Linked DNA regions of Elephas maximus indicus. The protein of the gene in region 1 binds, or shares a complex with, the protein of each later gene. Links are inferred from orthologs where the notes say so. Each region holds a gene or a part of one and is shown on either strand. Other genes may lie near its edges.

The links.
Region 2: the proteins of RAB7A (region 1) and RILP are in contact, whole or in part, in a crystal structure (PDB 1YHN), measured with the Homo sapiens proteins. The link is inferred for Elephas maximus indicus from reciprocal best matches to the Homo sapiens genes RAB7A and RILP. Residues at the interface, in NP_004628.4 of Homo sapiens: Ser3, Lys6, Leu8, Ile41, Gly42, Ala43, Asp44, Phe45, Leu46, Thr47, Thr58, Trp62, Ser72, Leu73, Val75, Leu182, Tyr183, Asn184, Glu185; in NP_113618.2 of Homo sapiens: Phe248, Glu249, Leu252, Gln253, Arg255, Asn256, Lys259, Ala260, Phe263, Leu264, Glu267, Glu268, Tyr271, Arg274, Glu275.

What each region holds. Positions count from the first base shown.
Region 1 is NC_064838.1:41,759,318-41,766,895, forward strand, and holds the start of RAB7A (ras-related protein Rab-7a), read right to left. Parts: upstream 3,106-7,578; 5' UTR 2,913-3,105; intron 1-2,912.
Region 2 is NC_064837.1:20,053,824-20,061,452, reverse strand, and holds the start of RILP (rab-interacting lysosomal protein), read right to left. Parts: upstream 3,102-7,629; 5' UTR 2,858-3,101; coding exon 2,630-2,857; intron 2,559-2,629; coding exon 2,465-2,558; intron 2,371-2,464; coding exon 2,264-2,370; intron 2,170-2,263; coding exon 1,924-2,169; intron 1,634-1,923; coding exon 1,488-1,633; intron 1,133-1,487; coding exon 1,010-1,132; intron 164-1,009; coding exon of another isoform or gene 124-163; exon of another isoform or gene 1-123. Other genes in the region: PRPF8 (pre-mRNA-processing-splicing factor 8), read right to left, coding at 3,813-3,967, 4,137-4,339, 4,417-4,556, 4,725-4,865, 6,052-6,193, 6,292-6,531, 7,239-7,432. UniProt on the Homo sapiens protein: Rab effector playing a role in late endocytic transport to degradative compartments. Involved in the regulation of lysosomal morphology and distribution.

The DNA of each region.
Region 1 (7,578 bases):
TGTGTGGAAAGGCCAATGCCAGATATAAGTGCAAAAATGTTATTAGTGCAGATCTCTTTGAAGACTTATTAAAAGTTAATCAAATAATCAAAACTTTTTTTTTTTTCTTCACTTGAGGGTGGGGTCAGAAAAGTGATTCAAAGCCACACTTTGGTACAATGCAATGCTCTCTGATTATGGGGTTTGGAGGCTTAGCCACAGGTGGGGGGGAGGAGAACTATCTCCAAGCTGTTGCTCACCATTACTTTGTCAGAATAATAATATCACGATTACTTGGACAGAATAATAATACCATTTTTAGAGTGTCTTCTCCTACACTGGAAACCCTGGTGGCGTAGTGGTTAAGTGCTACAGCTGCTAACCCAAGGGTCAGCAGTTCAAATCCGCCAGGCACCCCTTGGAAACTCTACAGGGCAGTTCTACTCTGTCCTATAAGGTCTCTATGACTCGGGATCGACTCGACGGCACTGGGTTTGGTTTTTGGTTTGGTTTCTCCTACACTGCAGTTCTACATGCGCAAAACCCAAATCTCCTCTTATAGATGGAGAGACAAAACAGTTATTGGAGGTAGCATGGCACTGTGTTTTATCTAGGATGTTACTGGTACTGTGATGGGCAGGAACCACATTCAACTTTCTCTGTCAGCTGAAGAAAAAAATCTAGCATGCCAAATGCACCTCTGCTCAATGAACACTGCAACAACTCTCACTTGCAGTGCAATGGGGTGGCAGTGACACGGATTCCCTCAAGTGAACAAAAAACGCCACTAGAGCAAAAGGAGAAACAAATTTAGAGTGCTGAAGGTTACAAAAGACGTGATCAATTAGAAACTGTAATACTGTCTTCTACATTCTCTTAAAGAGCAAGCCATATGAATGCTGTTGTTAAAATTAACAAAATTCAATTTAGCCAAAACACTAGACTGTTTGGATTACTACAAATTCACCTGCCGAGATGAGAAATAACTCTTCTTTCCAAAAGCCTCAAGTTCTATGGACAACTTGTCCACAACCGAATTCCTAGCAATGATCACTCACCATCTGAAAATTCCTTAAGGATCAGAATCATGACAGATACTCAAAACATTCAATGAATGAATGAAAAAGTGCCCAAACGCTATTTAAGGGCACAGTACTTATTACTCAAATATATCAGGCTGAGTAGCAAGGTAAAACGAGATAAACTGGAACACGACGGGGTTGTGAGTTCCAAGCTTTAGCTTGGGTAATATTCTCAGGAGGTATTAGAAATATTCACAACTCACTCAAACCTAAATAAACCTTCCAAAGTTTGAAGAGGGAAACAGACTAACAGGAGACTTTATTAATCCATGGATGAGAAGTCATGTGGCTAATCAGCTGCTTAAGTCACAAGGAAGAGACAAGAGCCTGTTCTTTCAGAATCCAAAGAGTATTTTCAACAGGGAAGAACCAGCTGGCTGTACACCCGCATCTCTGCTAAAGGTGGTAAGAAAGGTTCACATGGCAGGCTTGCCAAGCCTAATCAATTGACAAAAAATTCAGGTAACAAAATTTTTCAAACCCCGATTAAGCACTTTGTCAGAATTCAAGAGCTCCTAATATACTGACACTACACTACAATAATATCCATTAAAGGTCACAACTACAAATGGAATGACTTTTGGCTTTAAATAGAACAAATGCCACTTCAGGAGGCTTTAAAATGACATTATTAGAAAGAAAAGGAGAGAGAGGAAGATACCAGGTAGCACAAGAGAAATCACAAGCTTCAGGAGCACCTGAAAGCAGTGCAACCTAGACATCTAGTGCAGTACTCCAGAGTCTGAATCCTTGGGTTTGAATCTCAGCTCCATAACTTATTAGCTATGTGATCTTGGACAAGTGACTTAACTTCTGTGTTCCTCGATTTCCCTATCCACAAGTGGGCACGATAATCGTACTTCAAAAGGCTGTTCTGAAAATTAAACAACCTGTGTAAAAGGTCTTGGCACGGTGCCCAGCAAGCATACAGTAAGCGCTCAAATGTTTCCTATTATTGTTCTCTATATTCCCATTTTAAGAACCATTATGTATCAAGTGGAAACCCTGGCGGTGTAGTGGTTAAGCGCTACAGCTGCTAACCAAGAGGTCGGCAGTTCGATTCCACCAGGCGCTTCTTGGAAACCGTACGGGGCAGTTCTACTCTGTCCGATAGGGTCGCTATGAGTCGGAATCGAGTCGATGGCAACCGGTATGTATCAAGTCTGAACTAAACACACATAGCTTTACAGCCATTCATCATCTTTCCCCCAATAAGTCTGAAAACTTCGTTCAAGATTTACCATAACATGCTTACGACAAAAATCTCCCAGCGCCAGAAGCGTCTCACATGTACACAAGCCTCCGAGGTGAGCCCCGCGCACGTGACCTGACTCACTGCCTTAACTCAGCTGCCATCGGGGACCCTCCCCCAAGGCCGAATCAGGCTGTTCAACCGAAGACACAGATGCCAAAGTAGCTGAGCACTAGGCGCGATCGGCTGGGGGGCGCCTGGACCACCGTCCCCTCCACACGGCTGCTGGAGGGCCGGCTCCGACACCCTTCCGCTCGCCGCTGCAAGGAACTCAAGCGGCTAGAGCATCCCGCCGCGGGCGCACAGGCCCCGTGCCCAGTGGGTCTCCGGTCTTGACACCACTAGTAAACAAGGCGTCCGTGACGGCAGTCTCAGCGCCGGCAACCTGGCCAGAGGTCACACCCGGCAACCTCTGACCTCTTCCCGACCGGGCGCGGTCCGGGCCTGCTCCTGGGGCTGAACAACGCGCGGCTTCCCCGCGAGGATCGGGCTGAGCGCGGAGCCTTCCCCGAGACGGGATCGATGCGAGGCCCTGGGTACCGAGGGGCTGAGGAGGGGGATGGGACAAGGCCACCGGCCAGGCAGGGCCGGCTGCTTACCGCGGCCGCTCCGCTGGAGGCTCCGGGCCGGGCGCGTTGAGAGAGCTCTTGCCGAGGAGAGGCGAAAATGTACGGGGGCAGAGAAGAAGTCCAAATGCCGGTTCCAGCGGACCCCTCCGCCCTTTTCAAGCCTCCAACACCACCGCTGCCGCCGCCTCGGGCTTTATGGCCAAGACTTCGGCCCCGCTCCCACTTCCGCCACCGCCGCCGCCCCGAGCGGAAGTACCTGTCACAAGACAATCGACGCCGAGGAGTGCGGAGGTGGGACGCCGCCTCAACCTTGCGTCAGGTTCCGGCCGCCTCTGGCCTGGGCCTGGATCTTGTAGTCCGAACATGTCTGCCCCCATAGGACGTCGCCATCTTTGAGACTCGGTCAGGGACCAGGACGGCGCCATGTTGGACCCACAAATCGATTCCTCAGCCGCCTCCTGTCTTCCCTGAATAACGAATACCGGGAGAGAGAGGATGAGGTAAGCTTGCCTCTGCCATAGTGTCTGTCTCCAAGAGGACTGATCAGGCAACCAAGTAGTCCTACCATGTACGCTAAGCAATTCAGGATCTACAGAGCTTGTCCTAAGAATGGATTTGCCCAGGGAGAAATCTCTGTCGTGAGACACAACTAAATCCCATTGTGGTGGAGTCTATTCGGACTTATCGCGGCCCTAAAGGACACAGCAGGACTGCCCTATAGGGTTTCCAAGGCAGTAATCTTTATGGAACCTGATTGCCACATTTTTCTCCCAAGGAGCAGCTGGTAGGTTCAAACCAGGTCTTCCAACTGGTTCCTTCTGGTTCAGACCCCTGCTGAGAATTTGCAGGTCCACCCCAGATATCTAGAATCAGAATCTACTGTCTAACACAATCTCCAGGTGATTTTTATGTATAATAAAATTCGAGAACCTGCACTACTGGTGGTTCTCAGCATTGGTCCCTAAACAGCATCATTAGGATGGCCTAGGAACGTGTTACAAATTCCAATTCTCAACAGGGGTTTGAACCAGAACAAACCAGTTCGAATCCCTGGTTCAAATCGCCAACTTTTCAGTTAGCAGATCTTTGAGTTAGCAGCCCAGTGCTTAACCACTGTGCCACCCAGGGCTCCTTAGTGAGAAACACCCACCCACTGCCGTGGAGTAGATTCCAACTCATAGTGACCCCATAGGGCTTCCAAGACTAAATCACTGCGTAAGCAGGCAGCCACATCTTTCTCCCACAGAGTTGCTGGTGGTTTCGAACCACCAACCTATTGGTTAGCAGTTGAATGCTTTAACCGCTGTGCCACCAGGGCACCTTTTTGTGAGAGACAAGGCAAAACCCGTTGCTGTCCAGTCGATTCCAACTCATAGCGACCCTATAGGATAGAGTAGGACTGGCCCATAGGGCTTCCAAGGAGCAGCTGGTGGATTCAAACTGCGACCTTTTGGTTAGCAACCAAGCTCTTGCAGGGGTTATTTTATAAACTAATAGAGGAGTGGAGAAGGTCTGTATTTACTGTGCACCGTACTAGACTGTTGGGTAGACTCCAAGAGTCATTATTTTAATCTTACAGGAAGGCTGTTATTACCACCATTTTGCAAATAGAGAACTGAGAAGAACTGAAGAACTTAGAAAGTCACTTTACCTAGCCCACACAGCAAGTGGCACAGCCAGGATTGTGAGCCACGGTCTCATGACAATGTGTGTGATCTTCCTAATGGACTGCAAATAACTGCACCCATTATGTAGCTGGATGATAGAAACATGAAGATGAGTTAGACATTTCCAAAACACAGAGGAGATAGCCCAAGAAAATTGAAAAAGAACTCAAGTTTCTCTGAATTTAGTGTTAAAAGCGAGGCAAAGATGGACCCTGCAGAACTCTTAGAATGCACCCCACCCTTCCAAGCCCCAACCTCATACAAACACAATTAAGAGCCACTTAGAACTTTATCTTCAACAACATACTCTTGTCATAGTCTTTACTATCTCGGCTCATGCAAATGCCATTCTTTCCTGTTACTCAGTCTGAAAACCTTGGAATCATTCTTGACTCCTGTTGTGAGTTGAATGGTCTCGTCTCTAACTATTTAGAGATTTCTCCCTGGGCGAGCCCCAAAAAGATATGTTCACATCCTGTAACCTGTGAATGTGACTTTATTTGGATAAAGAGACTTTGTAGATGTAATTAAGGATCTCAAAATGAGATTACCCTGAGTTATCCAAGTAGGTCCTAAATCCAATTACAAGTGTCCTTATGAGAGACACAGAGTCAAAACACAAAAATCAGTGAGGTTTCTATACAGCAACAATGAGCAAGCTGAAAAGGAAATTAAGGAAACATTACCATTTACAATAAGAATAAGTACCTAGGAATAAACTTAACCTGAAAGGTGAAAGACTTCTATGCAAAAAATTATAAAACATTGCTAAAATAAATTAAAGAAGACCTAAATAAATAAAAAGACATTCCATGTTCATGGATTAAAACAAAACAAAAAAACAAACCCATCACCACGAGTTGATTCTAACTCATAGTAACCCTATAAGACAGAGTAGACCTTCCCCATAAGATTTCCAAGAAGTGGCTGGTGAATTCAAACTACCAACCTTTTCGGTTATCAGCCAAAGCTCCTGACCACTGCACCACCAGAAGGTTTAATATAGTTAAGACGTCAGTATTACCCAAAGCAATCTATAAATTCAATGCAATCCTCATCAAAATTCCAACAGCCTTCTTTGCAGAAATGGAAAGCCAGTTCTCAAATTTATATGGAAGGGCAGAGGATCTCAAACAGCTAAAGCAACCTTGAAGAAGAATAAAATATGAGGACTTACACTTTCTGATTTCAAAACATACTTGCAGTGGGATGGATCATTTTATATGGCCTGTCTCATTATGGTCTCAGGAAACCCTGGTAGTGTAGTGGTTAAGTGCCACAGCTGCTAACCAAGAGGTTGGCAGTTTGAATCCTCCAGGCACTCCTTGGAAACTCTATCAGGCAGTTCTACTCTGTCCTATAGGGTCGCTATGAGTCAGAATTGACTCGACCGCAGTGGGTTTTTGGTTTTTCACTATCGTCTGATAATTTACTTGGTAAGTTATGCAAATAAGGACATTGTGGCCCACCATAGAGGACTGGTCAGTTTTGCCATCCTGCTAGGCTAAAAACAAGCCATCCCAGAGGTGGGAGGAGAGGATCTAACCACCAACAGGAAAGAAGAGCCAGGAGTGGTGAGCATCCTTTGGACCCAGTATCCCTACACTGAGAAGCTCCTGAAACCAGGAGACTGAGAAAGACACGGCTATAACACGGACGATGGTGAGAAGCGGTGTCAGAGGAACGGCAGCAGGAAAGAGCAGCAGGAGATGGCACAGTGGGCCTCCTGGCCCATGGAGCAAAAAAGCTGCGCACCTTCAGGCTGAGGCTTACTGGCGGAGTGGGGTGCCTTGGAGCACTTATCAACAGAGCTAAAAGAGTTTTGTTTAGCACTTGCCTTAGCAGAGGCTGAGGGGCCAGAGAGAAAGAAGCGTGCCTGCGGGCATGGCTGAGAAGAGGCTGTCCTGATGGGAGAACTGCATTCTGAGCATTCCTGAACCTGAGTTGTAACCTGTTACTTCCCTATAAGCCCCATAACTGTGAGTATGGTCTGTGTGTTCTGTGTGGCTGTTGCAATAAATTATTGAACTCAGCAGAGAAGTGGAGAATGCCATGGGAGGGGCAGTTGGTGTCGGAATTGGTAAAGATGGCAGAGAGAGGAGGCATGTCTGACCTCTCCCTCAAAGGAATTAGCCTCGGGCTGTTGATCTTGATCCTCCTTCCCTCTAGTGAAGTTGTTATTAGGTGCTGTCGAGTCGATTCTGACTCATAGCGACCCTGTGCACGACAGAACGAGATACTGCCCGGTCCTGCGCCATCCTTAGAATCGTTGTTATGCTTGAGCTCATTGTTGCAGCCGCTGTGTCAATCCACCTAGTTGAGGGTCTTCCTCTTCTCTGCTGACCCTGTATTTTGCAAAGCATGATGTCCTTCTCCAGGGACTGATCCTTCCTGACAATATGTCCAAAGTCTGTAAGGCGCAGTCTTACCATCCTTGCTTCTAAGTAGCATTCTGGTTGTACTTCTTCCAAAACAGATTTGTTCGTTGGCAGTCCATGGTATATTCAGTATTCTTCGCCGACACCACAATTCAAAGGTGTCAGTTCTTCGGTCTTCCTTATTCATTATCCAGCTTTCACATACACATGATGTGATTGAAAATACTATGGCTTGGGTCAGGCGTACCTTAGTCTTCAAGGTGACATCTTTGCTTTTCAACACTGTGAAGAGGTCCTTTGCAGCAGATTTACCCAATGCAATGCATCGTTTGGTTTCTTGACTACAGCTACCATGGGTGTTGATTGTGGATCCAAGTAAAATGAAATCCTTGACAACTTCAATCTTTTCTCCGTTTATCATGATGTTGCTCATTTGTCCAGTTGTGAGGATTTTTGTTTTCTTCATGTTGAGGTGCAATCCATACTGAAGGCTGTGGTCTTTGATCTTCATTAGTAAGTGCTTCAAGTCCTCTTTGCTTTCAGCAAGCAAGGTTGTGTCATCTGCATTTTGTTAATGAGTCTTCCTCCAATCCTGATGCCCCATTCTTCATACAGTCCAGCTTCTCGAGTTATTTGCTCAGCATACAGATT
Region 2 (7,629 bases), on another chromosome or scaffold:
ATTCATAGCCTGAGAGACAGCAGGCTCCTGACAAGGCTGTGGCTGTAGACTTGAGGATAAACAGATTCAGCCAAGGCAGGAAACCAAAAAATGCACGCAGAGAAGCGCTGTGAACAGGTTTCTTCAGCAGAATGTATGGCAAGCAGGGCACGTGGGAGGAGTCCTGGATCCAGAGAGAAGGGTAGTAGGCTCAGCAGGGCAGGCTGGATGGTAGGCTCGGGGGGCAACCAAGCCAGGTAAGTAGGCTCAGGGGGTGACCAGGCCAGGTAAGTAGGCTCAGGGGGCGACCAGGACAGATCTGCAGGCTCAGGGGGCGACCAGGCCAGAGCAGCAGGCTCAGGGGGTGACCAGGCCAGAGCTGCAGGCTCAGGGGGTGACCAGGCCAGAGCTGCAGGCTCAGGGGGTGACCAGGCCAGAGCTGCAGGCTCAGGGGGTGACCAGGCCAGAGCAGCAGGCTCAGGGGGTGACCAGGCCACAGCTGCAGGCTCAGGGGGTGACCAGGCCAGAGCAGCAGGCTCAGGGGGTGACCAGGCCAGAGCAGCAGGCTCAGGGGGTGACCAGGCCAGAGCAGCAGGCTCAGGGGGTGACCAGGCCAGAGCTGCAGGCTCAGGGGGTGACCAGACCAGACCAGCAGGCTTAGGGGGTAACCAAGCTGGGGTGACAGGTTCAGGCTGAATGACAGACTCGGAGGGTTACCAGTCTAGGTCAGTAGGCTCAGCAGAACCAGGGAGGGAGAAAGGGCTGGCTCATTGGGGATAAAACCAAAAACCAAACCCACTGCCATCCAGTCAATTCTGACTCATAGCAACCCTATAGGACACAGTAGAACTGCCCCACAGGGTCTCCAAAGATATAAATATTTATGGAATCAGAGTGCCACATCTTTCTCCTGAGGAGCTCAAGGAGCAGTTGGTGGGTTTTAACTGCAGAGCTTTTGGTTAGCAGCCAAGAGCTTTAACAACTGCACCATCAGGGCTCCTTCCGGTGGGGACAGAGGGTAGGGATTTACCTGCTCTCTGCTTCCTCTGGGGTCCCTAACATCTTTGCCTTGATCTTCTTCCGTTGCTTCCGGACAGCCACCTTCATGGCTTCCAGCAGAAGCTCTGGCACCCGCTGGTCTGAGAGCAACTCCCTAGAGGGGAGGGAGAGGGGCAGGGCAAAGCAATGAGGATGGACATGCCAACAACAGGCCTCACGCCAAGCACCTGTGCATTTTGTTTCCCCTTTTTGAAACACTCTGACTTGCTAACCCCCCTCAGACCTTAGCTGAGGTGGCACCCCTCCTAGGAACACCACCCTGGCTGCTGCTGCTGTGGCTCCCGTGACCTTCTGCACTGTCCCCTCCCCAGTTTGGATGAAGCTTCCTTGACTCATGTCTTCCCAGTGGATAATCAATGAGCTGAAGAATGAAGCAGGGTGACCAGAGGCCCAGGAACAGATGTGAGTGGAGCCCCCTCGGCGCCCCAGCGCCTGCCCAGCTCCCTCACCGCTGGAAGTAGGCCAACTCCTCCTTCAGCAGGAACACGTTGGCTTTGAGCTCATTCCGCTCCTGCAGGATCTGCTCAAGCTCCTCTCTACTGAAGCTGCACTGGCCTACCTCCAGGGGACGCTTTGGCTGCTGCGCGACATCCGCCTGCACATGGACAGGTTTGGTTAGGGGGCCACCACAGCCAGCACAGGGCGATCACAAAAACACTACGAAGTGACTGGCAGGGAGACTTGGGGGGCGAAGGTGCTACAACAGATGACAGACCAATGCTGGGAGTGAGGGCAGAGGCCGGTTGGGGGCGCAAACTTGTGTGCCACCTTCCTACTTCTGGATGGATCGGCCATGCAGCACAGCACACCTTTCCTCAGTGCTAGCCAGTGTCGGGCGCTGTGAGTAGGTACTCGAGTGGGTCCCTGCCCTCATCAGGCACTCACTGGGTCCTCAGGAGTCCCCGGGGCTCCTGCCCCAGCAGTTGCCCGCTCGGGCTTCTGCCTCTGCTCGCACCCGGGCCCCTGGGCCTGGCCCAGCGGTTGCTCTTGCGCCAGCCCCGGGGACACTTCGCGCTGCAGCTCCCTCTCCCTCTCACGGTCTCGCACCACGCACAGCTGGGTCTGCACAGCCGCCAGCTTGTGCCGCAGCTCAGCGTTCACCAGCAGGAGGCGCTGCAGCTGTTCCTGCAACTGCGGGGCGGGGGGAGGGGTCAAGAGGTGGCGGCTGGTGGGCGGGGCGCCAGGGCTGGGAGAGCCCGCCGCTCGCCCGTCGCCCTGCCCTCACCGCCTCAGTTTCCTGGCTGCGCTGTAGCAAGTCGCGACTGTGCGCCCGAAGTTCGTCCCGCTGCCTGTCGGTCACCTCCTTGAGCTGCCGCAGCAGAGCGCGTTCCTCTGGGGAAGCGGGCATTCTTAGCGGCGGCCGGTCGGAGAGAGGCCCTAGACTGGCCCCCAGTCCCCCCTTGTCCTGGCGGAGGCCTGCACTCACCCTGCGGCCCACAGCGCAGCTCCCTGCGGAGGTGCTCGTTCTCCTCCCGCAGCCGCCGGAGCTCCTGTTCGGCCTGCTGCGCCGAGACCTGCAGCTGGGGAGTCCAGGGCTCAGGGTCAGACCGCTGCCCGCTCGCGGGTGGCGAGAGGTGGGGCAGTGACTCACCGAGTCTGGGGCGGGCCCCACCGCGGCCTTTTCCAGGAGCTCCAGGGCCCGCACTACCAGCGGCACCAGCCCGGTTGCCGCGTCTGGCCCGAAGCGGCGCGCCAGCTCTTGCAGCTCAGTGCCCAGAGCCCCCGCTAGATGGTACACGAGCTCCGCGGCCGACTCCGACCCCGCGGCCACTCGAGACCCCCAGCCATGCTCCCCAGGTGCCGCCTTCTGGGGCTCCATGTACCCCGAAGGCCAAGGGCTTCGCCCGCTTCCCCCCAACTGGGGCAGGAAAAACCAGTTCCGGCCCAGGAAGCGGTTTTGGGCTGTAGTGGGAGGGGGAGAAGCAGCGGGGGAGGAGCAATTAAGCCTAAGATCGTGGAGAAGGGAGGCAGTGCCCTAGGCCCCCTCGACCCTGTCCATTTCAACCCAAGGTCACAGGAAACAGGACAGTGAACTTCCACCCAGGCGTCCAAGAGCTGAAACTCAGGGCTGCAAGTGGTCACTTCAGTGGAGCCCTCCCCACAGGGCCCAGGCCAGGCTCCACCCCTGAGTCCAGAGTCATGGGCCTGACTTGGCTGCCAAGTACTCCAGCCAAGAGGTGAGGTAGGGCTGTCACTGGCCACCCAAACTGGCCACCTGTGTGCCTGTTTCTACAACTAGGAGTGTCACAGAGAGCTGAAGGAGCTAGGCTGAGCATCATAGCTGCAGCCTGCACCAAGCCACAGAGCTCCCAGGCTCAAAACACAGAAAGCAACTGCTCAAAGAGATGCTGAAAACAGGCTGATGGTTTGGAAGTATTTTGGAGGGAAACTAGCAAATGTGGTTAGGGTAGCAGGAGTGTGAAAGCCAAGCCCACCTCAGTTCACTGAATCTAGAGGTTATCTAGCCCCACAGCCCTGACTAAAGGGCCTCTGGCCCCCAAGGCTGAGCCCATCATCTGGCTGTGAACAAGGGCCACAGCCCAGCCTCCCACGACCCCTACATGCAGAATTTTGAGCTCAGAAAAAAAAAGACTCCTATTTATACAAAATTTATTGTTACACTTTGTTCAGAATTACAAGTCACCAAGAGGTCAACAACACAAAAACAAGCACAAAATAGAGAAGGGGGCCAAGCTGCTGAATGTCACCAGCTGTCTGTGGGGGTTAAAAAGCTCCAGCTTCTGGGGAGTCTGAAGCAGGAGGTGAGGCAACAACTAGGCATAGAGGTCCTCCCGGTCCGCAGAGTAGACCTCACCCTCCTGCAGAAGGGCAAAGTTGAGGAAGTGCGAGGGTCTGTGCACCTCGTGGTAAAACTCCTTGGGGTTTGCCAGCTGCAGCTCATACTTCATGTTGGGATCATGCCGTACACCTTGGGGTCGAAGGAAACATCCAATGTTAACAAGCGGTCCACCTGCCTCACCCAGCCTGGGCCCCTGGGCCATCTCCAAGCCAGAGCCAGGCCCCAAGTTTTAAGGATGATGACCATAAACCCATCCCCGCTCCCTGTGCTCCCTACAAACATGCTGGCCCCTACTCACCCATAAAGTTGTAGTTCCATGAGGACTGGGCAGGGACCATGAAGAAGCCAAGGAAGCGGTCCGACAACAGCATCTGGACCCTCTCATAGTGCGAGGGCAGGTAACCCTTGGGGTTGTTGCCCTTGTCTGTGTTTTGGCGGCCCCATTCATAGCCACTAGGGGTCAGCTTGTAGGCTGTGAGGGTGCAGGAACCTGGTGTGAAGCTGGGGGAAGGATGACAGAGTCAGAGCTCAGGCCAGGCCCACAATGCCTGCACCACCACACTTCCTCCCAAGCCCACCTGCAAGTGATAATAATGGTCTTCTCGCCATCCCAAGATGGGTTGTCAGCCATGATCTTGGCATGGGTAGTGACATCCTGGGGTGACAGCTGGGGGGACTCATTGGGCTGAGTGTGGATCCACCCTAAGGGCTCCATCTCCTATAGGCCAAGAGCAGTAAAAAGAAGTTTAGAATCCCATCTGCAGACAAGAATTTCCATCCATGAGTAACATGCCTGCCTTCCCTCCACCCCCCTGATTAACAAAAAGCCCCAGTTCTCTGACCCCAAGCTCCGTCACCTCTTACCCCAAGCTCCGTCACCTCTTACCTTGAGGTATTCATGCTGGGGCAGCTGGCCCGGCAGGTGCACAGTCTGGTGAGTGCCCCACTGTGGAACCATCACGATGCAGCGGATCTCCTTCACCTGAGGGTTATCTGGTGGGCTCACCCCATACAGGTACCCTGCAATCTGGAGACAAGAGGGCCAGGGCCAAACTAAGTACCAGCCCAGAGTCTTGATGCTGACCATCAGCTCTGTGCTTCATTCCCTCCCTCAAGAACAAGGACAGAGTTTCTCAGAATGTGGACAGAACCTTCTGTAGCAGTCGCCTGGGTGCTTGTTAAAATGTCAAACACAGACCTCATCTCAGGCTTACCACATCTGAACCCCGAGTGGGGTCCACAGCTCCCCAGATTACCGCAGTACACGCGAAGAAACAAGCACACAAGCATACAGCTCAGTGTCTTCGCACAAGCCGAACACATCTGCGCACCCAGCACCAGGTGGTGTTTTCACTTCATACCGCCACCAACAAAGCAAGTACTTGCTTCCTATAACCTCACCACACAGGGCGTTAACAATCTTCGAATTCACCAACCTAGCAGCCACAAAACGGTGTTTTATAAAAATACAAATTTCCCGATTACTAGTAAAGTTGAACATCTTTCCACATTGTATTTGCCATTTGTTGTTCCTTTTCTGAACTACCTTTCCATATTCTTTGCCCATTCTTCTAGTTATCTTTCTTTTACCAACTTCAAAGAATTCTCTATTCAAGATGCTATGCCATTATCTCTTAGTTATGCAAATATTTTCTTTCCATTTCCTAGTTTGTCTTTCGTAGTACTCTTTGTCACACTTATTAATTACAATTATGGTTATGTGTTTTCTGCCTTGTTTAAGAAGGCCATGCCAACACTAAACCAATAAAAACCACTAAGGTCATAAATATTTTCTTCTAATACCCTACAGTTTAGTAGTTTACACTGAGATCTTTACTCCTAGATTTTATTGAGTAGTGTGAGGCAGAGATCTAGCCTCCTTTTTCCAACTGTTTTAATATCACATCCTTAATCCCCCAGACTTGATACACCACATTTATATACATACACACACACGCACATATATATATACATATGAATCTGTTTCTGACTATGTACTATTCTCTTTCAATAACTTCTAGGCCACTACTGTAATCTCTTAATTACCATAGCTTTATAGTATGTTTTGATATTTGACAGGACCAAAAACTCTCCTGTTTTGCCTAACCTTGTATATTTACTCTTCCATGTATTTTGAAACCAGCATCTCAAGTGAGTTTTGGGCACATCAAGTGTTGGGTATACAGTGTGGCAAGTTAACCACATTCACTCACTTGTGCCCGAAGGTCAGATATGCAGATGAACTTCTTAAGCACGTTCTTGGGAAGGATGTAGGTGTAACCGGTCTCCTTGATGTCATCAGACGAAACATATATGTGATTGGTCCTTAGGTGCAGGTTGGCAGCAGAGATGGCCCTGAACACAAGCAGAGGATGTCAGCACTCCTCAGCTTGAGCATCCTAAGCACCACCAGGATCCCATTCCTTCCCTACCCCTCCTGCCCTTTTCAGTACCTGACCCTCCATTCAGTCTTAGATGAGAAGGTCTGGGTCTCATAATTGCTGGTGGTGGAGGTGATGATCTCGTCACCGTGCTTGTTGACAGTGCGCGTCTGTGTTGCAGTCAGCTGTGACTGTTCCTTGGTCTGCTTCTCGATCTCAGCTATCTGCTGCCGCTGTTGTGATGGTGCTGAGATCTCCATCCCCAGGATGATGTCTCGAATTTCTGATTGTGTCAGCGATGCCACATTCACACTGTGGGGACAGCGTGGGTCGCACCACAAGGATCCCTTCCCCCCTTGGGATCCCTTGGTCACTTCTACCTCAATGGCAAGGGTTTACCTTGCCCCAGACAATCCTGAAGAGATACTTGTGAAGGAGGAAGTAGAAGCGGAGATGTACTGATCTAGGGCTCCTCATACCCCGGGCAGGGGCCACTGTGCATGTGTACCTCTCAGCTCGGCTCAAAGCTGCTCAGCATCCTCCCTCCCACTTCTCCTGCACACAGAGGTGCCCTGGCACAGGACGATTCTCAAAAACACTGGTTCTCAATCACAGTTGACACTGTCACCCTAGGGGTACTTGGAAATGTACAGTCATATTTGGTTGCCACAATGACAGGGAGGTTGTGGAGGGAAGGAAGGGTGCGTGTGCACACTATGAGCTGTGGTACCCGGGGGTCTGGAATGTTAAAACTTCCTGGCATGTATGGACTGTAAAAAGATGCCCTGCTCAAAATAGGAACAATGCCTCTACTGAGAAACAACGCCGGAGAATCATACTGAAGGCCTGCAACACAGACATCTCCTACACTGTCTACCTCTTTTCTGTACGCATCTCTTAAGCATTTCTTGAAAAACTTCTGAGCCTAAATGTTTTTTAAAAACCCCAGAAACCACCTACTGAGCCAGCTGCTTCGCCCTTCTGGATCTCCCATATGTCTCCCCGGCACCCCTGCTCACTTGTTTTTCTTGCCATAGTCAGCCAAAATCAGGTCCTTGAGCTGCACCTCCACCTTGATCCATTCCTCATCAGTGAGAGTGGGCCAAATGTGATGCGGTTCTGTAATAGTGGTCTTGTCTGGCTTCAGGATCACCTTTGCCCGGTCATTGTTCACATGTAGGGCACGCAGAATCAGGATGAGACGGGAGAAAGCCTGGGAAGAAATGTGCTGGACTGGATAGAAGTCAGCCACTTAAGGCTCTACCCCATCCCCTTCTTTATCCTATCCTTCCTGGGGACCCAAGAATTGATTTCAAGCTGTAAGACTCAACCACCCCCCATGAATGAGTCAACCTCCTATGCAGAGCACAGTCTCTCTTCCCATCTGCAGGGTGAAGATGTGAAAATGGC